Nothobranchius furzeri: one gene and its partners. The protein of the gene in region 2 purifies or fractionates together with the protein of the main gene of each other region. This does not show direct contact. Links are inferred from orthologs where the notes say so. Each region holds a gene or a part of one and is shown on either strand. Other genes may lie near its edges.

What was found.
Region 1: the proteins of pde6d (region 2) and rab28 purify together in Homo sapiens (affinity purification with mass spectrometry; 3 studies listed by BioGRID and IntAct, with this or other methods). This does not show direct contact. The link is inferred for Nothobranchius furzeri from reciprocal best matches to the Homo sapiens genes PDE6D and RAB28.
Region 3: the proteins of pde6d (region 2) and inpp5e purify together in Homo sapiens (affinity purification with mass spectrometry; 3 studies listed by BioGRID and IntAct, with this or other methods). This does not show direct contact. The link is inferred for Nothobranchius furzeri from reciprocal best matches to the Homo sapiens genes PDE6D and INPP5E.
Region 4: the proteins of pde6d (region 2) and fbxo10 purify together in Homo sapiens (affinity purification with mass spectrometry; 3 studies listed by BioGRID and IntAct, with this or other methods). This does not show direct contact. The link is inferred for Nothobranchius furzeri from reciprocal best matches to the Homo sapiens genes PDE6D and FBXO10.

The regions. Positions count from the first base shown.
Region 1 is NC_091741.1:80,044,516-80,052,385, reverse strand, and holds the start of rab28 (ras-related protein Rab-28), read right to left. Parts: upstream 4,391-7,870; 5' UTR 4,256-4,390; coding exon 4,181-4,255; intron 1-4,180.
Region 2 is NC_091756.1:55,089,600-55,097,540, reverse strand, and holds the start of pde6d (retinal rod rhodopsin-sensitive cGMP 3',5'-cyclic phosphodiesterase subunit delta), read right to left. Parts: upstream 4,209-7,941; 5' UTR 4,003-4,208; coding exon 3,953-4,002; intron 2,441-3,952; coding exon 2,352-2,440; intron 1,600-2,351; coding exon 1,474-1,599; intron 1-1,473. Other genes in the region: rpl36 (large ribosomal subunit protein eL36), read right to left, coding at 6,279-6,368. UniProt on the Homo sapiens protein: Promotes the release of prenylated target proteins from cellular membranes. Modulates the activity of prenylated or palmitoylated Ras family members by regulating their subcellular location.
Region 3 is NC_091750.1:32,696,745-32,704,639, forward strand, and holds the start of inpp5e (phosphatidylinositol polyphosphate 5-phosphatase type IV), read right to left. Parts: upstream 4,231-7,895; 5' UTR 4,106-4,230; intron 3,661-4,105; 5' UTR 3,607-3,660; coding exon 2,855-3,606; intron 1,803-2,854; coding exon 1,679-1,802; intron 1,608-1,678; coding exon 1,510-1,607; intron 1,406-1,509; coding exon 1,281-1,405; intron 1-1,280. Other genes in the region: gamma-crystallin M2-like, read left to right, coding at 7,091-7,123, 7,387-7,629, 7,711-7,895. UniProt on the Homo sapiens protein: Phosphatidylinositol (PtdIns) phosphatase that specifically hydrolyzes the 5-phosphate of phosphatidylinositol-3,4,5-trisphosphate (PtdIns(3,4,5)P3), phosphatidylinositol 4,5-bisphosphate (PtdIns(4,5)P2) and phosphatidylinositol 3,5-bisphosphate (PtdIns(3,5)P2).
Region 4 is NC_091747.1:78,699,759-78,705,822, reverse strand, and holds the end of fbxo10 (F-box only protein 10), read right to left. Parts: coding exon 6,064-6,064; intron 5,982-6,063; coding exon 5,190-5,981; intron 5,025-5,189; coding exon 4,875-5,024; intron 4,807-4,874; coding exon 4,670-4,806; intron 4,023-4,669; coding exon 3,952-4,022; intron 3,868-3,951; coding exon 3,715-3,867; intron 3,635-3,714; coding exon 3,284-3,634; intron 3,212-3,283; coding exon 2,901-3,211; intron 2,451-2,900; coding exon 2,266-2,450; intron 774-2,265; coding exon 593-773; 3' UTR 202-592; downstream 1-201. UniProt on the Homo sapiens protein: Substrate-recognition component of the SCF (SKP1-CUL1-F-box protein)-type E3 ubiquitin ligase complex. Mediates the ubiquitination and degradation of BCL2, an antiapoptotic protein, thereby playing a role in apoptosis by controlling the stability of BCL2.

The DNA of each region.
Region 1 (7,870 bases), on a different chromosome or scaffold from region 2:
CTTAGCAAAGGGCCATTTTTCGTTTAGAGACGCAACAACTGAGAAGACTGATCCAGTGCACTTTCCCTGTCACCTCATTTGGTTATGTGACAGCAATCGTCTTAGAAACTGAAATAAGTGTGCGTATATAAAATTCTAATATCGGTAAATATTGGTATTTGGCCATGACCACAATATTAATATCAGATATTGATATTGGCCCAAATTCTCATATTGAAGCATCCATAGTTAGAACTCTTGGCATGCACTGTTTTATTAGGAAAAGGTCCTAATATCTAGGATTTCTTTGCGTTTCAAATGTATTATTCAATTTTTCTGTAAATGAGGTTTTTTCTGTGACACAACAGATTGTTTTTCTTTGGGTATAAAGTTTGTTTTGTTGCCTGACAACTAAAAATATCAGTGATCTATAGAGCTTTTTTCCTCATCCTGTAAAACTAGTCACAGCCTTGTGAGTGACTGAGAAATTACTAGAGGTGACTGATGCAACAAGGAGAAAATCGGCCATTTAAGTAGCCCAAACAATCAATAACAACATAAGGCTAACTTGTTGGGACAGCAAAAATGTATTCCACATGCTCTCACTGGCCCGGTCGGCCATTTCTTTTGGCATTCTAGTAGTTTGGCTCTCCTTTCTTTCCCACAGCACAACAAGAACTAACCAGTGAAATGTAATTGCTGGCATAATCTTGACACTCCAACACAGAACAGCACAGGGTCACCACTGATACCAGTGCCGGGAAATGAGGGAAGGGCTAATGAAACAAGAAACTTGCTAAGACCATGCGATGCTACTTAGAGGAGAAGCATTTTTACAGTTCTGTAACAAAACGTTTAATCTTTAAAAAGTTCTGATAGACATAAATGTTGTCTGATTAGGAGTTTAGCAATAATTAAGGTTCAGGACCTGCACCTAAAGCTCCTTCTTGTCCTATGGGTCACAGAGAAGCAAATATTGGAAAACTGAGAGGCTTCTAACTCAGGTTGTAAAATAGACCAGTGTGTACACTCAGCTCCCCATCTTAAGAGCCTGGCTAAATGCAAGAGTCCATATTTTAAAAACATCTTGCTCAGGTGGACAAGCCTTCCCACATCTGCCTATATTCTAAATGGACAACCAACCGCAAGCAAAAAATACCACTGAAAAGGCTGTCCAAGAAAAACTGATACGATTGCAATTTGCTCAGCAAATTGACATTAATAAGGGGGGGAAACGGCATTCAAGATGTCAGTCAGTGGTGCCGAGTCAAAATGGGGGGCAGGGCTCCTGTTTTCTGTCCAAAACGGACAAGCAGGTAAGTCATTCAGACAGAGACGAGCTGACACCTGGCAGCAAAGTGAGGAGGGTTATTAATGTAGCGTATCTACTGGGAACTGGGTTGTGTGTGTCCCCTGAACAAACCAACACACACACACACACACACACACACACACACACACACACACACACACACACACACACAGATAGAGCCCCTCCCAAAAGAGTAAAAGTCAACTTTCCATGAGAGCATTCATTTTCCTCATTGGGGCTCACTATTACAGACACATTCGTTTTCTTTTTCTCCCACAGGGTGAAGAGATTAGTTACAAAAGAGGATGTGTTTCTGAAAGGCAATCACAGTCAGCTTGGGAGTCAAGGTGCAGTGAAGAAGAAACATGGTTGAGTTGTCATGACAACCACCCTGCTTTCACTGCAGATGATGGTTTAGTGAAAATCTCCTGTGTAGTTCTGTTTAAGTCCAAGGCTGGGTTTGAGCTGTAATGATTATTAATCACTTTTTACTTTGAAAGTGAACCCAAGGTCAAATGTGAGTAGCAAATGATGATTTATCAATGAGATTTAATGGTGTGTTATTTTTACTAATTGAGGAGATATCTATAAATAAAGTATGTGACTCTGTCTTAAACCACTAAAAGACAGTAAAGTTTCTTATATGATGATAAATGATAAATGATAAATGACCCGCACTTGTATAGCGCCTCTCAGAGTAAGGACTCCAAAGCGCTTTACACTACAGTGTATCATTCATCCATTCACACACTCAATCACACGCTGATGGTGATGAGCTACAATGTAGCCACAGCTGCCCTGGGGCACACTGACGGAGGCGAGGCTGCCGAGCACAGGCGCCACCGGACCCTCCGACCACCACCAGCAGGCAACTATGCCCAAGAACACAACAGCAGAATTCTCTGTCCGGAGCCGGGATCGAACCTGCAACCTTCCGATTACTGGACAACCAGCTCAACCTATTGAGCTACTGCTTCCCCCAGACACATGTTTCCTAAATAGGGCTCTCCCTGGAATCACATGCAGGGGGGTTGTAAATATATTGGCCATGTGATGCAATCAGCTGTGAGACCTCAGCATCCGTACTCTTCTATTAATGCTGCACAGTACGATGTTTTAGCCAGACAGCAGTAGCAGTTTTAGGGTATGACATATAACTATTAAGTTTTGTGTGTTACTCAGTGTTGAACCAGGTGGTTATAGTCTAAAGACGCCTTGTTCCGTGTAGAAATTAAGTTTAAATAAGCTGCAGGAGTGTGGTACCTTTAAAACAGTTTTCTTAATGACTGACAGGCAGAGACATCGGGCTGTCAAGCAACATTATAAAAATGCTAATTATGGTTTTCAGTTGTTTTGATTTTTGTAACTTGTAAGGTCTTAATCTGTGCTGTCTGCTCAGGGCATTCTTGAAAAAGAGACTTAATTTCAAATCTGATTTTCTAGTTAAAGTGTGCTTCTTGGCAATGCACTGATGCAAGAAACTGTATATTTACTCAAAAGTAAACAATTGCCGTTACAATAAAACACAGCAACACAGACACAAGTCTACTACTTCACTCAATAGTACATGCATCATGGATTAAAAGCTGGATAGACTTAAGTGGTTAGAATGACGGATTTGTGTTCGATTTAAATGCATCATTAAGACAGAATCATAACTTTAACTGTTCATCAACTTTGCATGAATGCTATTTGATTTTTATCACTTTAATAAAGTTGCTTTCCCCTCCTGCAAACCAAATAAAAATAATTCTGTTTTTAAAGAAAATGGCACATTTTTATAACTTTGTTATTCCTCATGATTGTTTCTGTTGTTTTCAACATGTAAACTTTTTGTATTAAGTCAAATATAAATAATTGGAAACATACTATTTGATTTAGGGAATCTACTGACTGCATTATGACATGTTAACATAGTTGTTTAGTATCCAAATAAAGCTAAAATTAGTAATCTAATTAAGTGGTTACCATCCAGTTATTTTTATTTATTTGTTTGTTTATCTATTTGTTTTTTGTTTATGCTTTTTATGCAAAGCTACTTTGACGAACTAGAGCAATTAAAAAAACAGTACTTTTTTTTAGTAAACACAAATGTACATTTATTAACATTTCCACCAAGTCGTCAGCCTTTAAGAGCTAACACTTCAGTTCTGGTGAATAAAGGAGAAAGGTCATGGTTTACTAACCTTACAAATGGCTGAGCAGGCATTTCAGATTCCCTCCAATGATATGTAAATTATTATAATGTAGTTTTAATAAGAAAGCATGAAGGCATTTTGATGAAAAACATATCGCTTAAGCAATCCTTTTTAGTAGGAGCACAACACAAATATCTTTAAAAAGAAAGATGTTTTTGTGTTGTACAACACATAACAGATATTTGAAGATGTCAGCTTGAATACTGCACACAAAAGGTTTGACATTATTTGTTTTGTGTTATTTAACTAACTATTTTGATAAACGCAGAAGTTGTGACATGAGATATTCTCAAACCACACACACACACACACACACACACACACACACACTCACACATTTCTCCCTGTCTTTTTTAAACGTTTGCAGTACAAAACAAAGAAAACGTGATGTAGGTGTTAACTTAAGTGTTTAAGTTGCGGTGCTAAAATCAGAAGGAAAAGCTTTGACGTTCCGTGCTGCTTTGTTTTTGTGCTGTGTTGTTGTTAGCTATGATGCTAGCCTGTCTAGCTGCATTAGCGTCGGTCGCCATGGTGACTAGGGCAGTGCTGTGTCAGCAGGAGCTGGATGCTGCTTTGAAAAGTCTCGCAACAGACAAAAACACAGTTTGCCGACAAATGTGACGCTAGAATAGCTGTGCTGTTCTCTAATAGCGCGTAACAACAAGTGGTCGTTTTGCTGCTACGCTCTCACCTTCCCACACGCTCCGTCTCCAACCACGACAATTTTGAGCTGCTTGTCCTGACTGTCCTCCTCCGAGTCCGACATCTTGCTAGCTATCCTCTAAACGTTTGACAGAGAAACGCTGGTAACCAGTTACAGGCTGCTGAGTCCAGCTATCAGAGCGATCACTGACGGATTACAACAGACGCCATTTTAACTTCCAGCTAGAGGCTGCAGCTGCGAAGTTTGCATCACGCACGCGCTGCTGCCTCAACGTTTTTATTTTTTATTTTTTGGAGGGTTCGTTTTATTTTTAAACTAGGATAACGACCACCACAAAGACTGTATTGTAACCGTAGCATTGTAATTCAGTCTGTATTTTTTTTTGTTTTGTAGCATCTCAACAGGAAACGATTACAACCGGAAGTTGGATCGCATGTGAGTCCTGTGAGTAACGCTCTACTGTTGCTATGGTAACGGCAAATGTCGATAGAAGAAAAGATTTTCCCTCTAACTTGTAATTATAATTTAATTTTCATTTATTTTAATATTCCACATTTAAATTTCTTGCTGATTTATTTTTTGTATACATTTTTTATGGAATAAAATATTTGAAGAGACAATCTCGTCATATTGGGTATCGGGCATTATTATTGTTATGCATCCGTTTAGAAACACACTTAACAAACTTGTAATTATCGATAATTGCTCTATTTAATTTTTGTCAAACGCTTCCAGCGATGTTTAGGCATGTAGAATCTTTGTGAAGCAAATCTTGAATATTATAAGGAATTTGCAAGAAGTTGACGTTATAATCCTGCTGCTAAGGATTATGTAACTAGTTGAATCTCAGTTATATATTTCACAAGCGATCATTTTGTTCAAATACGCGGAACAAAATATTTTCAGCGTTTTCCTGTTGCAATAGGTTGAAGTTAATTTTTGCGTGATTCAAAATTCGATTATAAAGCCATGAAAATGAGCAAATGAATAAAAATTACACACTTTCAGGCATTTACTATGGTATTTTTGTCCATATGTTCTAGAAAACATTGATATTTCTCACTTCTTTTTTTGTTTGTTTGTTTGTTTTTTTTTTTTTTTTTGTTTTGTTTTGTTTTGGAAAATCAATTTAGAATCCGTGAAATAAATTTGGAGATAAGAAAATAAATGTGGCCTGCTTCTGGAAGAGAATAAGACACGGGACATCTCACTTCAGAAATATTTCCCTTCACTTTTCTTTTCTGCAGAATGACGTTTATTCACAAATCCAAGCGTGTGAAATGATAAAGTGAGAGAGTTTAGAAAACATCTTTTCCTGGTGTTTGGGATTAGATTTGCTGTTGAATGTCGCTCCTCGTCTTCCCAGATATCGCTGAGCGGAAAGAAACCTGAACCTGAGCCACTTTGAGACAGGTGGCAGCTTCTCTCTGTCATGAGATGCTCTCATGTCTGCTGACAGTTTTGCTAAAAGAAGAAAGGAGAGAAAACTTTGGGAGGCACTTTTTAAAAGAAGGAAAATAGGTCAAAAGAGAGGATGCGTTTAAAAATAAGAGACTTACATGCTTCGTGCTTTAATTTAAAATATTCTGCAGCGGGTTTAATGTGCATGGATGAATTATAAGTAAACAATGTATATTTTTTATTAAACACTTGATCACATAGAACTTTCATTACTGAATACAAAAACAAATAGTGTTAAAAGTCTCGGGTTTTTTTTTTTTTTACATGTGAGGGACAACCATTATTTCTCTGTCTGAGGTGGGTTCATGTTTTAGTTCAAATAAAAGTTACTTTGTGCAAATATCTAGAAAATTCAGGAGCGCTTCGACCTAAAGGATGCATGCAAACAAAATCCAACGAGCTGAGCTCATTTTGACATGACGAATCAGAAATCACATTTGGTTAAAATTAATCTCTGAGAATAGATGTCTGATAAAAATGCGACATTCAAAACATAAATGAACATGGTTGTTTTAGTTATAGCTACGTTAAGACCCATCTAATGATTTCTGCGTGAATAAACAATAATGCGTTTGACTGATGTTCTCATCGGTGAATCTGCTGCGGTGTCCCATCACAATTATGTTTTATCTTACTAAAATGAAAATTTAAAATAACAAAGCGATTAAAATTGTATTTCAAATATAAAAAATCGAAATAAGCTGTTCAGCTCCAGGTTTATGGACCATAACGCCGTAGTTGTTAACAACAAGCGTTCAAATTGGGATAAATCCCATTGGAAACCAAATAAGTCACAATAAAAACTAAAATTATCACATGAACGTTGCTTTAAAAAAATCTTTTATTTACTATTTTTACAGGAGTTGAAAAGTCCAATAAAGATTTATTTATCTAAACAAAAGGTGAATTTAAAATATATAGTGTGAAATCAGCGTAATTATATTAAAATATTATTTAAAAAACTAACAATGGCTTGAGAGGGAAACTGGGGACAGAAAATTAGGTCACCTATTCTAAGACAGACGCGGAGCCTTCAGTGCGCCATGAAGAAGCAGCGCACTGTGGCCTGTGATGGCACGCAAACCTGCGTCAGACTGATTCGATTTAGAACAAATCGGCACCTTAAAGAGAGAATAGTCCCTATATGGCAAAGACGAGAGTACTCTGATTAACCAAAACATGCACTGATGAGTAATAAAGGTAGTTCCGCCAGATGTCACACACTTCTGAAATTGGATCATTTAAATGTCAGCTGATTGCTGCTGGGAATGAAGGGTGCTTTCAGAGCCGCGAGTTGGCTTTTTATTTTGGGTTTATTTTGATATGAGATCAAATCCCGAAGACTCCAGGTCTTCTTTACGCGCTGATCTACAGTCAGACTCCTTGCGTCTGTAAGGAAATAAAAAGTCAGTGAAAAGCGACGCAGCAACTCCTGACCTGTATTACCTCCTAGACGTTAAGAGTCACAAATGAGGCGACTCATGCAATATTTCACTCCAATAAAAGACAAATAGTTTTCAGATGCCTTCTGCTAAAAGTGAAAAACCTGCTTATACGTCTAGGTGCGCCGAGCTCCTTAACACCAGAATACTCCTCTGGTTGTGATGACATGGTCCTGTCAGTCTTTCCTGTTCGGGGATCATTTTAACACTAGGAGGAATCCTGGTCCAGGAAAAACAACAATCCAGTTTCTGTTCCAAACTCCAGAAAAATGGGCAGAAAGAAGAAAAATACATTTTGTCCAGACGACTCCGGAAATTTTAATTTGCAATGGCAAAAATATTAATATTAATGAATACATCACTAATCACGTGTAATAAAATGCATTACTTTTAAAAATCATGGCGCTTAGATAAAACAGTCAGACGTATGTAATTCTAATGTGTTTCCTCTCACTCGTGTCCCAAAACCCCACAAAAAGAAGCATCATGAATGAAATGTCTGATATGTTTTAATTCAATCTAATCAGCCATTTGACACAAATCAAACATTTCAACTGGGAGTGGGTTTGTTTCAGCCTGCCTCCTCCTGCTCTCAGGCCAACAAACGCTGCATGCATTTACACGGAAATAATGTAACAGATATGCTGAAAAGTGCTTAAATATCTTACCTTAACAAACACAGCAAGACACGCATGCACACACGCATGCACACACGCATGCACACACGCGCACGCGCACGCACACACACACACTGTAACAGAGACAGTTATTTTGAAAGTCAATGGAACGTGTCTATTTCGCAGAGGTAGGAAGG
Region 2 (7,941 bases):
TTTGAAAGGGGGGAGCCAGCAGAAGTAAAGCCCCCGTCTGGTTTTAGAAAACACCTCACTAGGTGCGTTTCCACTGTGGGAACTTCAGAGTACATTTACAGGAGCTTCCTGACATGTGTGTGTCTCCACTTGATTGGTTCTGGGCCATTTCTGAGCCAGTTGCTCCTGGAATCTGCTCTGAAACCGCCTGGATCTACAGAACCTGGTCTCAATCAGCAGATGTAAACACATCTAAAACATCTCAAATGCAAAAATCTCTAGATAAAAATGTTTTAACTGATTAGCGTCTATGCCAAGTCTGGCTTTAATTCTTCACCATCGGTAGCTGAAACTGCGTGGTGTGTAATGTCCACAGGGCTTTGAGCTACAGACCACTGTGGCCAGGAAACATTTGTGAGGAGACGTGAAATCTCCAGACTCGAAATGAAAGTGTGACTAAAGTGAATGTGTTGTGATGGGAGAGCCATGTTTTCTCCAGGGCGTTCCAGTAACCGTAGCTCCTTGGGAACAGTTCTCCAGACACACGAGCAGAGACACGAGAACCTCCTCGTTCCCTGAGCGGACTCTTTACGTGATCTTGTTTGTTCTTTCTACGATATTTTACATTTTAGCACATCCGTGTGTTCCTGTTTACCTGCTGGTTTCATCAGAAGGGATATATGTGTCTATATTTGTTATCGTGGCTCTTTTGATGGTCTCACTGGTTGCTTATGTATTACTGGTTCTACATCAGGAGAGTCAAACTGATGAACAGGGGATCAAATCTAAAACCCTGACCACTTCTACAGCGGATCTTGGGCTTTTTTAAAGTAAGAAATTATAGATTCTCATCCGTCACAAATCTCATGTAAAAAAATCAAAAAACAAGAAAATTGGCCACCTTCTCTAAATTTATAATTTAGACATCAGAACAGTGACCATTTACTGTTTTTTTCCTCTTTGCACAGTTCCCCTTAACAATGTTTACTGATTATTTCTGATCAAATTAATCAGAGGCCATCAAAACGGTTTAAAAAACACTCAACATAAATACAAAATTATCCAAATCAGATATTCATTCATAAAATGACAGAAATGTAGATTAAAAACTGAAGCAAACACTCTGCAGCTGTGAAAAACACCAGAACCACCCAACACCATTTCTTAGCTCAGGCTCGTCTCTGGGGTCAGGAGGTGTGTGGAGGTAAACCCATGAGATGTTAGGATCAGCACCGAAACACGCTCCCATCAGCTTTTTCATCGTCATCGAACTAATTTACTTCATTTAAAGAGCTTTTCGTTCCAAATGTTCCCAACAAAGCCCTGAGCTGTCGGTATGCAGGTCTACTACAGGTGTGCTCTTCTCTTGTGGAACATGTTTCCAGTGTCCATCCACTGGGCAGACCCCCCCCCCCCCCCCATCTACTTTTAGGACTAGATGTCAGGCTTTTTTAAAATAAAGATTGTATTGAAAGAGTGTGTTTCACACATTACCTTCTAGACACTGGCCTTTGAAGAAAACTTTCTGTTCCAACCGAAACTTCTGCAGCTGCTCAGCAGAAGAGAAGTTCAGCTCTCTGGACACCGCTTTGCATTTCAGGATCTTCTTTGGGACACGAGCTGAGACAGGAGAGGAGACATCACGGTTAGGTCAACACGTCCAAACTACTGGATATTATCAACCATCAGATTTGTTTTGGAGCCCACAGGACAGGGTGAAACCCATCACTACTGAATATTTACTTTTTATTAACCCTCTCGAGCTTAAAATAAGTTTTGATAAAAGGAAAAACTGCTCATGAAATACGTATGTGGAGTAACCAGGTAGGTAGGTTTTAACGTTGCAAATCTGCAACGCCTGCCTCCTGAGGGTTGAAATGATCTAGAACAGCTGTGAATAGAGTCTAATAATATAATTATTGATTTGTTAAACTTGGAAATAGAGGGAAAAAAATTCAGCTGCAGAAAAAAAAGGAGGGCAAAAACAAATCCTAACTTTTATCATTAGAGATAGTGTCCCTTTTTGGTAATTCTTTTGAACGTTGATTGGTTAAATGGGTGTTAAATAAGGCACTGGTTGTGTGGGAGATTAGTTGAATTTGCTTTTTGGGCGTAGAAATGTAGAGGTAGTCAGAAACTCAAAGTATTTGCCAGATTATTTTCTTAATCACCTCTTTACCCTTTGTTTAACATGTTTCTCCTTTAAAATCAAAGATAAGCGAGCTGAGAGATCTGAGGAATGTGAAGCGGTTATGTGAATTTTGTTTTGTCACACTTTGTGCCAATTTGTTTTTACTCCCATATGGAGTCTCAAATAAAAGTAATGAGCGTGTCATTTACCCATCTACTGTATAATGTATGCTGCGATTTACCTTCATGTTCGACTCCAGGTACAGACAGGTCCTCTGTTCCCTGCCACAGCACCTTACCCGTCTCTGCATCCCGAAGGTTCATCCAATTTCTGCCAGCACGATGTTAAGTAAAAACAGGCAAACACGGCAAAGAGAAATGGAACCAGACCCTTTCTGCACCCACCCTGATTGTTCCTGGGCAAAATTCAACATTGAACCAGAAAAAAAACATTTAATCCAGTTTCTCAGAAAAGGTCCAACAACAAACAGCAACAGTCTGCAAAATTCTCTGGGAACAAATGGGAAATATTTAAATCTCGCTGAAATTATGAGCTTCCTGGCATCTTACAGTTGTTCGTGCCTTTGCAGTTCTGGGGTCCTCGGCTTTGGAACCACAAGAAATCAAACAGTCCACATCGCTGCCCACCTTTAAAGCAAGGCATAAGCTGCATTTGAGATCTGTTTCTTCGTTGTTTTTATTTACATTTTAATGTTTTCGATCACTATTTAAATTGTTTTAACCTCTTTTTTTTAATTGTTTTTTTATGTTTTCATCTCTGTATTTTATTATAGAGCTGTTTTATTGTGCTGCTTCTTTGCACTATGTTCAGCACCTTGGACCCCCTTCATTGGGGGTGGGAAGAGGCTTTATAAATAAAATGATTGATTGAAACACCATCCAACCTAGAAACTCCCTCTAAACTCAGACGACTCAGAACATGGGCAGTGTCTGGATATCTATAAGCATTTGAGTAAAATCACAGATTGAAAAAAGTAACAGCTGCAGCTCATGGCATCACTTACGGACATCCCAGCTTCCTCAAGTAAACTATTCCTCCTGCTTCGTGCAAACAAAATATATTAAAATTAATGCATTTTTTTATTTTCTTTTGATGAGATTGACGATTTTCTCTAGAATCCGACCAGATGGCAGAGGTGCTGATGGGGTTCACCGGTAAAGTTGAACATGCCACAGAAATCACCTCTTACAATATTTGTTGTCATCACGTAAAACATTATAAAAGTCATCACCACACCACACAGCTGTCATGATGAACTCACGTTTGGTGCTACAGTGAACAGAGTGCTGACTTTATGAAATATTTTCCTCCCTCAAAATCAAGACGGTGCTCGTGGCCAAAACTTTGGCTCCAATTAAAGGTGGAGTTGAATGTTCCACTCTGCGGCAGAACCACTTAAAAGTTTCTAGTTTGATTCAAGGACTTTTAAAAGGTACAGCCAAAAGAAACGGTTGCTAGCAAAGGTCCTGTTCAGGTTGGGTAGCAGCACACACAGGGGGCCAGCTGCAGCACCAATCCACCTGAAGTCCTCACGCAAAGCTGCTTACATATGGAGCTAACGGAACTAGCAGCTTCCACGACACGCTCAGACAACATGTTTGATCGGTAACAGCCCCATAAAACCGAATTTAATCAGTCACACCAACAGGCAGCAACTTACAGGTTGTTAGCACGTCGGAAATTTTGCCATTTAACGGTTAGTTAGCATGAACAGCTAGCTGTTTTAGAATCTTAGGAGCCGACTTCTAACTGCAGCAGTAGTTATAACAACACATCAAGCTTAACCGTGAAAAACATTACCATCACCCAGTGGAAGGATACAGTTTAAAGCCCTTCAAAATCTCCTTGGCCCTTTCCTCACTCCGAGACATCTCGGGACAGTTTCCGTTTATTACCGATTATCCAGAATGTGGGGGGGAAATGACGCCGTTAACTTTATCGTAGCAGGCCAACCGGACAGTCGAAATTCGCCAGGAATAGAGCAGGCAATACGAAATTAATCCAGAACAGTTAGACTACAGGATAAATCCGATTCCAATAATGCAATCAGCTAAACATACCCGCCCACGGACAGACAGCTCTCACAGCCACTCAGTGGGAACGAGAACTACTACGAACCAATCACAGCGCGTGAAAGAAAAGTAGGCGGGACGGAAACGGATAGAGCGTTTCGCCGTTAAAACCAAACACCAGTTTCCTCCGTAAGCGATTCCGTACTCTCACCTTATTCCAAAAATGCATCCTTTAACAATTAAGAACTGTTCTTTTGTGGACAGGAACTGCAATAATAAAATCCTTAGATGTTGGCTCACTGACGCCCTCTTTCCCTTACCTCTTAGAAGACGGGAATTAGTGCGTCAATTTAGTAATTCTGATGTTAAAAACATTAGATGCAACTATCCCAAATTCCCAATCCCTCCTAAAGCCAAGGAAGTTCATTTTAAAACTATAAACAGTATTTATCCTTGCAAAGATTTCTTGCAGTCTAAATTTAATATTGGAGAGAACAATTGTGCCTTTAGCACTTCTAATATAGACACTGAGATACATTTATTTTTCACATGCATCTTTACCAAAATTTTCTGGGATAGTTTTCACTCGTGGTTAACGCATAATAATTTCATTATACGCTCCTTATCTTTTTCTGACATCAAGAATGGTATTAGTTTGGAAAATAAAATGCAGCAATTCACTGTCAATAATTTGATTATTTTCGCCAAATTCTTTATACACAAATGTAAATTTGGCAACATCAAACCGATCTTTATTGTTTTTTTTTTTAAAGAACTTGCATCCTTTATGGATTCTCTTAAATTATGTAGTTCCAAGAAAGCCATTTGGCTCTATAACAATTTGGTAAATGTTTCCTTTACCCCTAAAAATGTTGATGTAATATATATACACACACACACACACACACACATATATATTTATATATATATATATATAGTTATGATTTCTGCAGGTTGATATTGAGCTAGGTTAATATTATTGTTTCTGTTTGTACACCTGCTTTATTTTGTCATGCTCAGAATTCAACTGTAAATATTGATTCTTATGTAAGCCTGTAAGCTTTATTGGTTAAATAAAACTTGTTTAAAAACGTAAGCGATTCCGCCATATTGGCAGGGTAAACTTGTCAAAAGTACAAACCAACACAAGCCTTCCATGCAGCATGCTTCAATAGGATGGGTTCCAGTCAGTTGGAACAGGATCTTTAATTACCTTTATGCTCTGGGCTTTAACCACATTCAACTAACATTTTATTTTGTTATTTTAAGCTCTTTTAACTAGCACTGTAACTGGTTTTGATTGCTAACAGGTTGCTGCTGCTGAATGACTTTATATGAACATAAGTTTTTAGATAATAAAATCATATTTTAAATGCAATTAAAAGATTAAACAGGCCAAGCCATTCAGGGTCAGAAATGAACTTTAAGGATGTATTTTTGAAGTGTTGAAAAAACATTTTGCAGGTTGCTTATCTGGATTGCATCCGTTAGCTTCAGATTTGTTAGCTTTTTTTAACCTGAATGCTTTGATCTTAGATTTGACTTGTAAGATGGCCCCAAGCATTTTTAAGGCTACAGGCTTTCAGTTTGATTTTATTTTAATAAAACTGTCTTCCAATTGAATAGTTGTAATGACTGTAGGTCTAAAGACTAGTTTACATTAATCTGTAACAGTGTACTTCAAAGTAGTAACAGCACAGCTTCAGGAATGCTAGCGTCACAAGAGGTCCCTCAATAACTATGCACATTCCAGCTGGATATTCAGCAGCATCAAAGCCAGGACTACCTAACAGTTTTCACCTTTACCCAGTAGCTGTTAGTATACTAAACACCACCTATCTTTCTCAAGCGTAGCCAAGGCCCATCATACCCCTACCAAGAACAATATGACTTCAGGCTGAGTTTTGTGCAGTAAGATTTCAGCCTTTCATTAATTGAATATCACATAAGACTGTGTACACACACCTTAGATTTACTTTTTGAACTCCACACAGGCTGCTTCCAAAAGTTACCTATACCAACAATTTTTATTAAAAAATAAAATGAAATTCTTACGATAATCAAAATACACATTTGCATAATAAGAAAGTAGCCAGAAGCTTGATTAGTTTAACAAACATTTATTGAGTCAGACTTTAGTCCTTCTTGGCAGCAGCCTTTCTCATGGCAGCCAGAACGTTGCTCAACTCCTCTCTCTTTCTCTTGGCCCGGATGTGAGTGCCAATCTGAAAGAAACAGATTCATTTCAGAGGGGTGTACCTCATTCATCTCTTGCAGTTTTCAATTTATTTTCTTATTTCCTGTAAATATTTATTTTATTACTCAGTATTTTTTATAGGTAGCAAATCAAATTCAGTATTTTTACTAGAGCATTTTCAACACATATTTTATTCACTGTACAACTGTTTATTGTTCTTGTGAATCTAAATATTACATCAAAACTTCTCCACCAAAGAACAATAAAATAATTCTCTATTCTATTCAGTTAAGTGTCTCACCAAGGTCAGATCAACGCTAATGTATCTTTTTAAACTCTACTACAGAATCAACACCAGTTCCTTGTGAACCACTCTGAAAGGACTGTCGCTCAGGCTGCAGCTATCCACCATGCAATGACTAGCTTCATGTATGATAAAACACACCACAATGAATTTAGTGAAACAATTACAGCTTGGGGACCACAATACGTGGAGAGATGCATCTCACAGGCTGCTTTTGTCCAGTGACCCTGACCCACTTTAACTTTTGTCTCAGAGCTCAGTCACAAGAGTCATGTTTCACAAACCATCTGAGACATTTCCTGCACAAATTCACTGATGGAGCAAAGTGTTCCAGAAAGGAAACACCCCAACATTCATAACAGCTGTGATTAGGGTTTGGAGGAATTCTGGTTTGTAGTCTATGATGGTGGATTTTATTTCCAGGAGTGAACTCAACTTTAATTTGTTATTTTAAAACGTCTAAACTGCAAGTGTTTTACTAAAGGGTTGAATGATTTGATAAATGATTTGTTTGGGCATCAGGAGCTCAACAGGTTGAGCCGGTTATCCAGTAATTAGGGATGCACCGATGGATCGGCATTTGATCCCAATGGGCCGATAGCGCCCCTATCGGTTTTGATCGGAGTTTTCAAAAAGATCAAAGCAGACCAATCAGGTAGGGTTGTCACGGTAACCGGTGTAGCTGTAAACCCCGGTAAAAAAAAGTTGACAATAAAAATAACCGTCTTGTTTTAAAAAAAAACTATTATCTCAGTGGATTACCGTGGCTGCGGTGTAGGCGCGGTGACCCTTACCAGCCACCGTATCATCTGCTGAAGTTTCCGGCGGCACATGCACGCTTTGTTGTTTACAACCAAAACTTTCTTGAAGCTAAAGCTGAAATAATGGCCAAAGGAGGAGACGGCAGCGCTCAGGACATTTATTATCCCTCAAAGAAGACAAAGTGGGAAGTACGGGCATCTTTTGGATATTTGAAGAATGTCGAGGGACAGTTGATAGAAGACGGCTATCCTGTTTGCAGCACGTGCAGAAAAAGTGTCTGTGAAAGGCAGCAACGCTTCAAATCTCATGACACATCTGCGTGACCATCACCCACAACTCTACAGTCAACGCAAGGCAAGCTAACGTTAGCCTTTTAGCTAAAATGCGTGATCCGAGGATTTGGGTTGAGGGAGAACGCAACGAGTCGCTATAAAATGCAGCCGCAGCGCCGCTACCTGCATATAAACCGTGTCGCGGACACCCCCATGTTGAAATGACGCTATGCATTACGGGGCTCCCAGGGGCAGATAAAGAG
Region 3 (7,895 bases), on a different chromosome or scaffold from region 2:
CTTCACTCGTTCCAAACGGCAGTGGTGCCCCGGCAACATTTTCATGGGGGCCAGTGAGAATTTTGGGGTGGCGCACCAAATCGGTCCTTGTGGCACGTCAGGCAGAGTTTTGCCTGTGGCTGTGCATTTCATTGTTCCTTCATTCACTCATTCACAGCAATGAATATGTCATGTTGTTGATTGGTCCGAGCGCTGTCCAATCATGTGCAGACATAGATTCTGCCCCACGACAGAGGCCCGTCTGTGGGTCCATCCATCCATCCATCCATCCATTTTCAGCTACTTATCCAGATTTGGGTGACGGGGCAGCAGCCTAAGCAGAGAGCCCTCTCCTCAGCCACTTGGGCCAGCTCCTCCGGGCGAATCCCAAGGCGTTCCCTGGCCAGGTGTTCCATGTCCTGGGTCTACCTTTAGGTCTCCTCCTGGTTGAACGTGCCCGGAAAACCTCACCAGGGAGGCATCCTGACCAGATGCCCGAGCCACCTCAACTGGCTCCTCTCGATGTGGAGGAGCAGCGGGTCTACTCCGAGCCCCTCCCGAATGACAGAGCTTCTCACCCTATCTCTAAGGGAGAGCCCAGCCTCTCTTCGGAGAAAACTCATTTCGGCCGCTTGTATCTGTGATCTCGTTCTTTCGGTCACTACCCAAAGCTCATGACCATAGGTGAGGGTAGGAACGTAGATCCACCGGTAAATCGAGAGCTTCTCCTTCTGACTCAGCTCTCTCTTCACCACGACAGACCGGTACAACGCCCGCATCACTGCAGATGCAGCACCAATCCGCCTATCGATCTCATGCTCCAGTTTTCCCTCACTCGTGAACAAGACCCCGAGATACTTCAACTCCTCCACTTGGGGCAGGACCTCATCCCTGACCCGGAGAAGGCTTTCTACCCTTTTCTGAATCGAGACCATGGTCTCAGATTTAGAGGATTGATTCTCATCCCAGCTGTCTATGCGTCATGGCCAGATTACATATAGAATGGCTTGCTAGGGCAGCCATCTTTACAAAACCTATGGACATTCTACTTTTTGGTGAGCTGCAGCAACCTTTATATGTTTTTGATTATGATTTCTTTTATTTACTCATTTTCTATTTTCATAAGGTTTTACTTTGATGTCTTGATTGAACAAGGTTAATTTTTGGGTGAACATTTATACGATTTATTAAAATGGAGGGGCCTTCCCTGGGGGGCCAGTGAGATGGCCAGCAATTTTCTAGGGGTGGCCATGCCCCCTCTTGGGGGTACCACTGCCGACCAGATCTGAAACAGAACCAACCTGAACAGAACCATATGAGGTCTCTCCTGGTAAATACAGTCAGGTACAGAACACCATGTGATGCTGTATACAGCATGACGTAGTGAGGTCCCAGAGTCTCCTGAAGACAGGTCTCCCACTCCCTTCTGCAGAAACACACACACACACACACACACCAATTTAACACAGTTTACAACAATCACAACCTCTTTTTTTAATCACAGCACATCTCATTTCTGAAAAACCCAACTTGTCAGGGCACCCTTCCTGGACTCCAATGACATAAAAATCTTGTGCAAATTCAGAATCTGTAGGAAGGAGGAGATCGTTCAAGGTGGCTGGATGGAACTGGAAAGGACAGAAGCTTAGTTACCACTTGGTTTGGTGTGAGATGCTGCAGATTCAGGGCTTCCTCCTACCTTCCCACCCTGCATGTTCCACGTGACCACGTAGAATCCCACCCTCCTGTTGGGGAAGTATCGGTCCAGCTCCTCAGCCCCGAGCAAAGCACCACTTCCCAGCATGCTGCCCTCTAGGAAGCTCCTGGAATGGAGGCGTTGGAAAGCTAAATCAACCCTTGTTTGAAGTTTTATCATCAGCCAATTATGACATTTTCCAAAGCATTTTGTTGACTAATGTATAAATTCAGGAAATGTACAAGGTTCACTCATCCTTTATAAATGATGTGGATGTTTTAAGTCACATTTATGATTAGGAGGCATCAAATATCTGTCATGTTCTGTGTCCTTTTGGTCCCCAGCCCCCTCCAGGTCTCCCTCATGTTCCCCCTAGTCACTTCACTTAGTTATCCCATCCCATTTAGTGTTAGTCTCCTCATAGATTCCCTCTCTTTTGGTTCTGGTCTCCTTAGTTTCCCCAGTTTAGAGTCTTCGTCCCCGCCTCCTACTGGAGACCAGAAGACTCTGGGGCGCCGGCGGCGATGAGGCAGGGCCAGGAGGACCCCGGGAAGCCAGGGACTCAAGAGGCCGGAGACTCAGGCGGTGGAGCTGGGGAACCTTGGGGGGCCGGGGCCGCCTACAGGCCAGTCAGCAGCAGTGGTCACCACCAGCCCGGTCCTCACCCGTCACCTCCTGTGCCCCAGACGCTGGCTCCCTAGATTCCTGATCCACCGCCTGAGTCTATGAGGAGACTAACACTAAATGGGATGGGATAACTAAGTATGAAGTGACTAGAGGGAACATGAGGGAGACCTGGAGGGGGCTGGGGACCAAAAGGACGCAGAATATGACCAGATCAGTTTATTTCCATCAGTTCCTAAGCTTTCACCATCTCTGTAAATGAAATACTTCTTTGTAAATTGCTTTTTTATTTTTACATAAGATTTTAACGTCTTGACTGAACTGGACTCTACGTTTTAGAGCTTGACCTGATAAAGACAAATGTAGTGGATTTGACATGCAAAACAAAAAATGCAGAAAACCTTTATATATAAATAAATAATAAAACTTTAGCAAGTCCTACATGTGCTTACTTTCCCAGTGTCATTATGTTAACTCTCCACCCTTAAAGCCTGCTTCTAACTACCAAGTAGGAATAACAAGCCTTCACTTGCCTGGCCTGCTAGGTTAACCTACCTGGTTCTCACGTCTTTGGGCTTGATGGGACTAAGAACGCTGTAGATGGACTTTAAGGAGTTTACAGAGCCACTATCTGACCCCATGTTCTCCAGAAGCTTGCTGCCACTCAGGTTCCTGTGAATTTTCTCTCCAGTCCTCTCTGTGGTCAGGGCGGGATAATCTGAACAATCCTTACCAATCCTATTAGGTAGCTCTTTAATGGCTGACACAAAGTTGTTCTTCTGAGCAGTGTGTGTCCTTGTGGGATGCACTGGAGACAGTCGCACCTTGCCGGATCCCTGATGGTCCTCCAGGACACTCTGCAGGCCCTGTGGCCTGCTTTCATCTTCTGACAGACTGCTCACAGGAGATCCTGTAGTGATAGCAGACTGAGGTCTCACATCGAAGTCCTCCTCGTTCCTGACTGGTTCTGTCTGGTCTTTAAGCGAGTCTGTGGAGGAGCCGGTCTCAGCTCTGTCACTCAGGCTCTCCTGGCTGTTGTTCAGCCTCCTGGTTCTTAAACTCTCCTCTGCTGAGACACTTCTTTTGCTGCACTTTGACAGGCTGGTTGCCAGCGGGGCCCGAGGGTGGTATTTTGTAGTCTCCTCTGGCGCATTTCTAGCAATAGTTGCAAAAGCTTCATTTTGCTCCAAGGTAGATTTTACAACCCCTAAGGACTTTATGATGGTCCCCCTGTCTGTGCCATTCTCTCCATTTTCAGATGACTCACAGGGATAAAACAGAGTACAGTTCTCCCCATTCGCTGCCATCCTCTTCTTATGTCAGAAAACTCCTGCTTCCAGCTGAATGAGGCTCTCTCATCGCTAAACACCAGCAGATATGAAAAAAATACGACTTAATGAAAAATTCAAATAAGTTTAGCCACAATGTCATTAAAGTTGATCTGTTTACTGGTGGGTTTGATGCTATCTGAATAGCAAAAACAGACCAAATATCCCATTTTCTCATGTTTAATGCAGCTAACAAATAAAAAGCCGTCATCAACAAAAATGAGCAAACTCTTTATTAAGAATTAGCGTGTCGGACACCTAATTTGGCTACAAACGTTATTTTGGCACAACATAAGCAGACTGTGTATTTTGTTGTAGCTGATGAAGCTAAATGCTAGAAACCGCTATGTCTCCATATTTACAGCTAGCTAAATAGCGTTCTAAACCGACGTTTTTAACTCGTAATAATGGACCTTGGTCGTTTTATTTTTTGTCATCCAATACTTCTTTCACAATTATATGAGTGAAGTACATTTACCTTTAACTACTGCCCCCAGACTGGCTATTTCCAAAAGAAGCTCCGTTACTTCCTTAGCAACGTTTAACAACAGATTTTGTTACCAAGAGCGTCACTCTGTGAAGTCGAGACGTCACAGCGCCCCCGTCTGGTTAGAAGGTAGATTACAACTGCAACTGGGATCCCGTCTTTTATTTATTTTTCTGCTGATGAATAATCTGCTACGAATAAAGTTCTAAAGTGCATTATCTAAAATGTAACTGTAATTACTTAAACAAACAAACAATAAAAATAAAAACAAATGCACAAAAACAAACCATGTGGTTGTGATAACTAAATATTCACTCAATTATAATCATGGTTAAAAAGAAGTGGGATAGTAATATTGTGTTTGTTTATTTATTATTATTATTGGTAGTAGTAGTACTAGTAGTAGTAGTAGTAGTAGTATAACAAATAGCTATTTCTGTATGACTACAGAACTGTATCATTAATTTTTCTGAAACAACCAAAAGTAAACAGATTACGATTTGGTCTTGAAAAAAGTTTATAAACAGTAGTAGTAAAGAAAATGTTTCATCAAAATGTCCTGAATTATCTGGATGATTATGATCCATTATCTTGTATTAAATGAAGAAAACTAAAAGGATGTCCTATTTCTTTGCAGATCAGTATTCTATTTTACTTTAAAGAACAAGTCACCCCCTACCAGAGTCTAACTCCGCTCCCACTTCCTGTTTGAAAATTGCAACAAATGCTGTTGCCTAGCAGACCGAGGGGGCGGAGCCGCTAACAAATAAACAGGCTGTGTCTCAATTCAGGGTCTGCATCCTTCGTCGGCCGGTTACGTCACCGCGCCGCGACTAGGCCTGTCCCAGTTCGAAGACTCCTTCAAATGCGGTCGACGAATGCGGCCTTCTTTTTGCCTGAATGAAGGATGGGTCCGGTGTATCCTTCAGTGGTTTACATTTCCCAAGATGCCTTGCGGGTCGGACGGCAGAACTTTTAAAAACAATGGCGGACAGTGAAGCGGGAGCTGTTGGAGAGGATTGTGCATATAAATGTCAGTATAAACTTAAACTGTTAGGTTAAGGACTTTTGGTGATACATGAACGTTATTTTAGTTAGAAATGTTACAGTAAAAGTGCTTGTATTGCGGTCTCGGCTCGTATGTTCGGCCGCTCGGTGTCGTACTTCTCCCGCTACGTTTCCCCCAGATTTTAATAGAAGTTTGTATTTTAGGGACAAAAGAGAAAACCAGGGAATTTATTAAGCTTAGGGCGGAGATGGACCACATGATCACCGGAGCAAAGTGTTCGGCGGCTGTGGCATGGAGGTACAATAACATCTCATATTTTAAGTTTAGTTTTTTCTGTGAAAACATGAAAGGAATAACCCGTTGTCCTCTTTTCTCTTCCTGTTGTTTTCTTACATGTTTGTTAAGACTATTCTGGAGGAAATGGGCATCCAGGGGAAGGTGACAGCGATGACCAGCTTCTGGAGCTGATCAGGGAGGACATGAGGCTGCAGAGGGAGGCAGAGCAGCAGAGGGCACAGGAGAGAAGGGAGAACTTTGACAGAAAAAATGGTTAATAAAGATTAAACATGAACATATAAAAGAAATATCTAAATAAAACCAGTTCTGTATTAAACTCTTGAATTTTATTTTTGTTTACAAATGAGAATTGTTTACTAGAGGGTATCCGCTGGGTCTTAAAGTCTTAAAAGGTGATAAATGGGTTTTGGTCAAATGAAGACCCTTAGAAAGTATTAAAAACTATTATCACATCTTTGCTCAGGCTCAGCTTGTCGAAAGTATTTCTCTGAATTAGCTCTCCAACAGTCAAGGAAATGATTAAAAAGCTAAATAAAACTTCGAGCTCCATCGTTTAAAGTTCCTTCTCCCTTCTGCTCAGCGGTTCCACGGTTGCTAGGCGACGGAACGTTCGCCGAGGGAGCGGCGGGAATTCATGAAGGCTAGGCCTGTCCAAATTCACAGCCGTTAACATCCGGTCTACCCGGCCGACGGAGGACCCAGCCCACGCCAGCCGAGTAGGCTGGGTGCAGACCCTGAATTGAGACACAGCCACATGCTAATGACATTGTGACATCATATGGTACCAGCTAACCTTCTAGGGTACCTCTTAGCCAATAGCGATGGCAGATTTAAATTCAAATGCAGAGCAGAGTTTTTACCTGACAACGGCACAACACTGACAGTTTTAGGCAGAACATTAAATTTGAACTAAAATGCACCAAAGTGCAAAATTATTGACTACACGTGTCTGCAGCACGATTAGACACACATTTATACAGTTTATCAGGGAAATAAGGTTGATTTGGGGGTGACTTGCTCTTTAATCTCTGAGATAGAGTATTTGTATTTTTATAGACATATATATGGTCCTATATTTAGTTTAAAACTGTTTTTTAATTAAATTAATTAAACCTTCCCACTGACATCACTTGTTGAAACACTGCCAGTTAATTGTTCACTAAAAACCACCGTGCTCATGCACATCAAACTTTGTCTTTTTATGTAAACATCTGGGAAATGAATATTTTTTATTGTAATTTTCACCATGAGTATTTTTACTCTTTCACAAACTCATAACAGCTCCCTACATGCATCACATCCTGCTAGAGTGAGTGACTTCACAATCAGCAAATTATGTCACAAAAAACGAAGAATGTTGCTGACAAAACTGTGCGTATGGTACAGAAAAGACAAAGTGTGACCTCTGATTGTTAACCCTTTCATCCTCTCTCTGACCCCCGTGTTGTACGAGAAGCAGCCACTGAAAGCATTTCTGAGCTCACTGGCCAATGGAAAGGTTGACAATTCTTCTATATTCTGTGCTTTTCTATGACGTTGCTGACTCGGGGAGTTTGGACAAAGGGCCAGTCTGTGGGTTAGGTATAAAAGGAAAGGGTTAAACCAGGAAGAGTACAGTTTGGTGCAAGAGCAAGAACAGCAGCAGCAGCAGCAGCCTACTGACCATCAAAATGACCTCCAGTGGAATGAACACCATGAGCAGAGTAAGTTTTGTAATGTTTGGTGATCCTGGACTGGAAATGTCTGTCTTTAAATGTTTTGATAAATAGCTTCTCTAGTTTCATACATTTACTTCATAATGAGGAAAAAAGCTTCAAATCTGACCCCAGAAGACTGGAAATGAAAGTTAAAACTGGAAATAGTGTTCAGCAGCCAGGGGCCTACATCATTAATCTTTTATTTTTTAAATGAGGAGAAAACCAAAGATCAGCTCCAATAAATCAACCTTTTGTTGTTTTTTCTTCAGATCATCTTCTACGAGGACAGGAACTTCCAGGGACGTTCCTATGAGTGCATGAGTGACTGCCCAGACATGTCCTCCTACCTGAGCAGGTGCCACTCCTGCAGGGTGGAGAGAGGCTGCTTCATTGTCTACGACCGCACCAACTACATGGGCAACCAGTACTTCATGAGGAGGGGTGAATATGCTGACTACATGAGCATGATGGGCATGAGCGACTGCATCAGGTCCTGTCGTATGATCCCCATGGTAAGAAACCATCTAACACGTCTTTTTAAACATGGCGTCTGTTCTGTTCTGGGTTTAACCTGGTCACCACTGGCTCCACAGCACAGGGGATCCTACAGAATGAGGATCTACGAGAGGGAGAACTTCGGAGGTCAGATGTACGAGCTGATGGACGACTGTGACAGCATCATGGACCGTTACCGCATGTCCAACTGCATGTCCTGCAACGTGATGGACGGCCACTGGCTGATGTACGAGCAGCCCCATTACAGAGGCAGGATGATGTA
Region 4 (6,064 bases), on a different chromosome or scaffold from region 2:
TAAAAAAAGGCACAATGTGACTTCCTGAAGCCTTGGACTCCTGCTCGGGTTTGTGAATGTGCATATGCTAAACCAGAAAATCTCAGGAACAATCCAAAGTCACCCTGAAAAAGAACATTTTAGCGTAACGCCTGTGAGAGACTACAAGAGGACTCGGGGATTTCTCAGCTGCTTTGAAGTGCGTCCGGTCTGCTTTAATCTCCAACACTGGGCAGAAGATCACATCTGTGATGTTTCTTCAACCTCTACTGCCAAAAACTTAGCAGAAATATAAAATCCTATCAGACCTGACCCCTGAACGCACCGACGAGACGCCCGAGTGGAAACCAACACGGCACTTTAAAATAGCTGAAAAATAAATACATTTTGATAGTAAATATTTTTTATGAGAATGGGTATTAAAGCCAAGTTTGAAAAGTGACGGCACAGATTTACACAATGTGCCCTCCTAGCATGTTTTCTTTCTCATCTGGTGCCTTTAGGCCGTTACGACCACGGTGAAACCTTCAGAAAAACGAAGTAAATTTCCTTGACGTGTTTTCAGCAGGTCAGAGTCCGTGATCCTATCCAGTCGGGAGTCCATATCCGGTTTTCACAGGATGGAGCAGAACATGCTGCCACTGTGACAACCGCTTTCCACCGTGGCTCCAACTCTGGTAGTCATGGAAATCCCAAGGCGGGAAGGAAACCGGGATGAGGAAAGGCCTGCAGGAGAACCGGCAAGTGGGCGAGGTGGAGGGTTTTCCAGAACCCAGGCCGGAGCAGGTGTACAGCTACAAAATGGGAAAAAAAGAAAAGGCAGTATTATTTTAAACCGATGTTTGGTGTACTCAGGCGATTTTAGGGTTTGCTGCTAGCCATGCAAGCCGTCCTTCCATCTATCCATCCATTTTCGGTCGCTTATCCGGGGTTGGGTCACGGGGGCAGTAGCCTAAACGAGGAAGCCCAGACTTCCCTCTCCACAGCCACTTGGGCCAGCTCCGCCAGGGGAATCTCACGGCGTTCCCTGGCCAGCCGTGAGATAATTCCTTCAGCGTGTCCTGGGTCTTCCTTTAGATCTTCTCCCAGTTGAACGTGCCTGGAAAACCTCACCAGGGAGGCATCCTAACTAGATACACGAGCCGCCTCAACTGGCTCCTCTTGATGTGGAGGAGCAGCGAATCTACTCTGAGACCCTCCCGGATGACTGAGCTTCTCACCCTATCTCTAAGGTCCAGACACCCTGTGGAGAACTCATTTTGGCCGCTTGTATCTGTCACTATTCTTTCAGTCACTACTCAGAGCTTGTGACCATGAGGGTTGGAAAGTAGATCGACCGACGAATGGAGAGCTGTGCCTTCTGACTCAGGTCTCTTTACTGCAACAGACTGGTACAACGTATGCACCTGTTTCTCCTTGCGCTCCATCTTTCCCTCACTCCTGAACAAGACCCAGAGATGCTTTAACTCCTCCGCTTGGGGAAGGACCTCATCCCGGTCCCAGAGAAGGCATTCTACCCTTTTCTGACTCAAGGCCATGGTCTCGGATATAGAGTTGATTTTCATCCCAGCTGCTTCACACTCGGCTGCGAACCGCTCCGATGACAGGCGGAGATCACGTTTTGATGAAACCAACAGGACCACACCATCTGCACATCCCATTGGCCCACGTGTAAGCCATCCTGCAGAGCAGTCTTTAGCTGCTGCTATGGTTTGTCTAGATTTCTAGGCCAATGTATACATTTTATCTACCAGATGTCTTCGTATGTTTACAAACCTACTGCTTTATGGTGCAGAATTCAATGTCCACAGTGCATTTTTATAGGGATGCACCGATACGATACTGGTATCGGTATCGGCGCCGATACCAATACCAATATCAGTATCGGTAAAAGTTAACCGATACCAATGCAGTTGCTTGAAAATGGCTTCCTTGTAACTTGTCATTTCTGTTCACCTAATATTTTAGTTTTGTGATGATTTCCATTCATATATTTTACTTTTTATCTACCTCACAGTCTTTTCCTGTTGAAAGCAGAGAAGAAAATAAAATCTGTATTCCAATTCATTTCATTTTTTTGTGTGGTAGAAGTATCGGTATCGGTAATCGGTATCGGCGAGTGCTCAGATCCAAGTATTGGTATCGTATCGGTTTGGAAAAAAGTGGTATCGTTGCATCCCTACATTTTTATTATTATCAGGAAGCTGCAGAGCTAAACATAAAAGTAACACACTCTAAAAGCTGCAGGACCGGGCGGCTATGATGACATCTGAAGATCTCAGTTACCTGTTATGTCTCAAAATACTGTTGTTGCGCAACACACAACTTTCACTGATGAAGTCTGTGTGCAGGAGGGACTTTTTGTTTTCCGGGTTACCCTGGAACAAGATGTTGTCACGGACAATGGCTTTTAGTGGCCCCAGCAGAGCAATGCCACAGCCCATTGCTGGTTGGACACGGTTACGAACCACCTACAGACACAAATCAGTAAACAGTTGGTTTATTCACTTAGCAACTTACAGCTTATATTTAACATGCAGGTTTTTGGTCTGTTGGAGAAAAGCCACGCATGCATGAAGAGAATATTCTAACTTTGTGCTAAAAGGCTGCAGCTGGAGTGTAAGCCCGATACATTCTTGCTGCAAAGCATTTACCAGCTGCACCATCGTGCATTTGGGAAATGTTATAAACCGCTAGCTTTCTGAACAGCTTCTACTCACAGAAAGAGTCGAGTCCTTCAGAATTGATGAGCTAATGGCTAATCCAAATATAGTCATCTTGAAAATGCTCCAGTTTCTAAAATTTCACAGCCGTTCATCCCCTTTTAAACCTTTAAATCGTTGTCAAGTTAGCATCGAGTCCTTTCCAAGCATAAATGCTAGCAGATCACAGAAACCTGCTTCACAGTGACCTCATCTCACCTTAATATCAGAGCTCACAGAAACCTGGATTCCACTTCCCCCGTTACCAACCACATCGTTCTCCACTATCTGCCCGTTCCCGCTGAACCGGACGCCGTGGCCGCTGTTCTCATAGATGCCGTTGCCACGGAGCTCCACCCTGCAGTCCTTCTCCACCGCAACGCCGCCTCGACCATTTTTCACGATGCAGTTTGCAACGAGCCGCGTCAGCTGACTGCTCTGCAGCACAGCGATGCCAGGGCCACAGTTGCTGTTCACTAGGTTTGCAAAAACATTGAGGGCCTCGCTGCTCTTTACGTACAGACCAACAGCTGCAGAGGGACAGAGGAGGGACACGGTCAGGGGTTTAAGGTAATGCGTGGTGTTTTATGTGAACTTGTTACCTCCGTTGTAACTGAGGCAGTTGCTCTCGACCAGGGCCACGCTGATGGAGCGGCGAGCAGAGTGGCGCTCATCCTCACTGTCCAGATCGCTCTCCCAAGCAAACAGTTCACCCTCCTCATTAAAGTTCTCCTGGCCTTCTCTTGCGTCACCTTCTGCTCCTCTTCTTTCCCCACTGGCTGCGTCCCCGCCTATTACTTCCTGCCCCGGCCAGTTCCCCTCCCTGGCCTCAACGTTCTCCGGGTCTTTCCTGCAGAACACTGCCAGCCCGTACATGCAGTTGTGGACAATGTAGTTCCCAAGCAGCTGTGGAAGGCTGGAGGACATCACCCACACACCGCAGCCTTTGTTACCTGATTGAGTCAGATTCAGGAGGAGGTGAAGCATCTGCAACAAGCCACTCCTCATCTGTTATTAGGCTGAATTCACCTACAGTACACCTGGTTTCCCTCAATTAGACCACGCCCCCTCTCTCCCACCACCACGCCGTCGGAATAGCCGTAGCCTATGTAGTTGTTCTTCAGAATGGGGTCACCTCCTCTGCGGATGTCCACTCCGCCCCACTGGTTCTCTCGGATTACGTTGTCTGGGATGAAAATGTGTAGATTTAGTCCTGCTGACTGGTAACAACATAGCAAAGACACACACACAAACACACACAAATACACACCCGTTATCATCCCTCTGCCGTTCTCGTTAATGGCTATCCCTGCCGCCTGGCCTTGGAAGATGTGATTCCCACTAAGAAAGCAAACGGTTCAGACTTAAACGTTGCAGAAACACGTGAGTTTTTTTTTATTTGATGCATAAACACATCCACCCCCAGTTTTTCCTCAGAGATGTTATGTAAGATGGTTTATGCCACATTTGCTGCTTCACCAACTGCAGGTTGTTTCACACACTGGGATTTGAACCTGCGACCTTCTCGCTGCAAGGCAGCAGAGCTACCAACTGTGCCACCATGCAGCCTTCATCTAAGTGTTTTAGGATTATTTTTGCCATCTGCATTGAGATCGTTTAGAGCTACAACTGAACTACAGATGTGACTGAGGCTGGCACGATATCAATAAATTGTTGATAAATGATTTCTATGATGCAACTAGACTCCGTTATCATATTTTAGCTTTATACAGTAAATATGAAAGATTTTCAGGTGTAAATCACGTAATAATGACGGTAGAACAGCTGCAATCGGACCAGAGCCAAAGGAAGCGTTATTAATGAGTGTCGCTCTACGGACATGTCAGCGTATCATCTGTAAAGAAATGTTTGTTGGTTTTTAACAACAGCTTCTGATTACATTTCTAGAAGATACAGAAACACTGAGTGATGTCCAGATGATGGGAAGTGTGGGATAGACGTGATCCTGTTTCTGGAGTCCAGCTCACCTCACCACAGGATTCCCGCTGAAGAGAACATACACGCCGGCTTCCTTGTTGTTATAGATCAGGTTGCTCCGAATTGAGCCTTTCCCGTTGCCAAGGACAACAACCCCAGAACGCAGACCGCTGTGTATCCTATTGCACTGCAGAACAAAAGAGGAAATAACGGAGAACACAGGAACACAGACAATACATTTAAAGCTGTTTCTACCAGAATAATGGGGTTGGCCCCTTTTCGGATATCCAGCCCGGCTTCCCCGTTAGAGTGGATGTTGTTTTCCGCGATGAGGCCCTGAGCCGACAGGCGCAGAAACACACCTGACGCGCGACACTCGCACACCTCATTTCTCAGCATCACAATCTGGAGAAGCAGGGAAAGAGGAAGCTCCAGTGACACTGCTGCTGAATTACTAATGACTCCAGCAAGCTCCTTAAGTTTGTACGTTAAAGGAAATGAAATCTCTAAAGATGTAACGGTGCGTTTGACAGATTTATCATGAACAAATATTATTTAGGTTGGGTTTACTGTAGAGTTTTGGATGCAGCGGACAGCGTAGTTCAGCCCACGGAACACGTTGTCCTCCAGACGAGCTTGTGCATAATTGGACAAATGTACACCTCCCTTCCCATTTCTGAAGAGGCAGCGTCTCAAAATGCAGCCAAGGATGGATGAGGCTAGGATCTGAGCCTCCGGGTCCCTGTCTAATTCCTGCTGAAGGGTGAGGGGGTCAGGGGCCGCAGACGGAGGGTCAGAGGAGGAGGCAAGTGGCAGAGAGCCGTCCGCTCGAGGCTTCAGCAGATGGGACAGGCTGTGATTTTCACATGGGATTTTGCAATCCAGTGTAAAGAGTTTTCTTGTGTTTTTCTCCTCCTCCCCCTCGCTGTGCTCACCATCACTCCAGCCGTCTCCGATGACGGTGCCCTGACAAACTGCTTCTCCACTTGTCCTTCTTTTCCAGTCCTCCATGCTCACATACTCCTTTGCAACCCCCCCTGGAGGATTAGGCTCAGGAGTGGAGCTGCCCTGAGGGCAGCTGGGGGAGCTGCTGAACTTAGATGGGAATGTCCTGGCCAGGGAAGTCAAATGTTTACAAGCCCAGTTTCTTTCGGACACTGGGGGGCCCTCCACAGTCACTGAAGCTGTGTCACTTCCTGAAAAGTCACAGCTGTCCAACAGACTGACGACGACACTCAGCAAGTGGGCAGAGCTTCCCTGGGAGAAGGAGCAAAATCGAGCCTGGCAGGTCCCCGGGCCACGGATTTGAAGCTGGGCTCCTTCAAAGTTGCAGTTGTCTAGTTGGACATGACCCCATGATGTCTAGAGGAGAGAAAGGACACAAGTAAGACAAATTCTTGATTGGGTTAAGACATTTGTTGATGTTGGAAAGCTGTTCTATCACC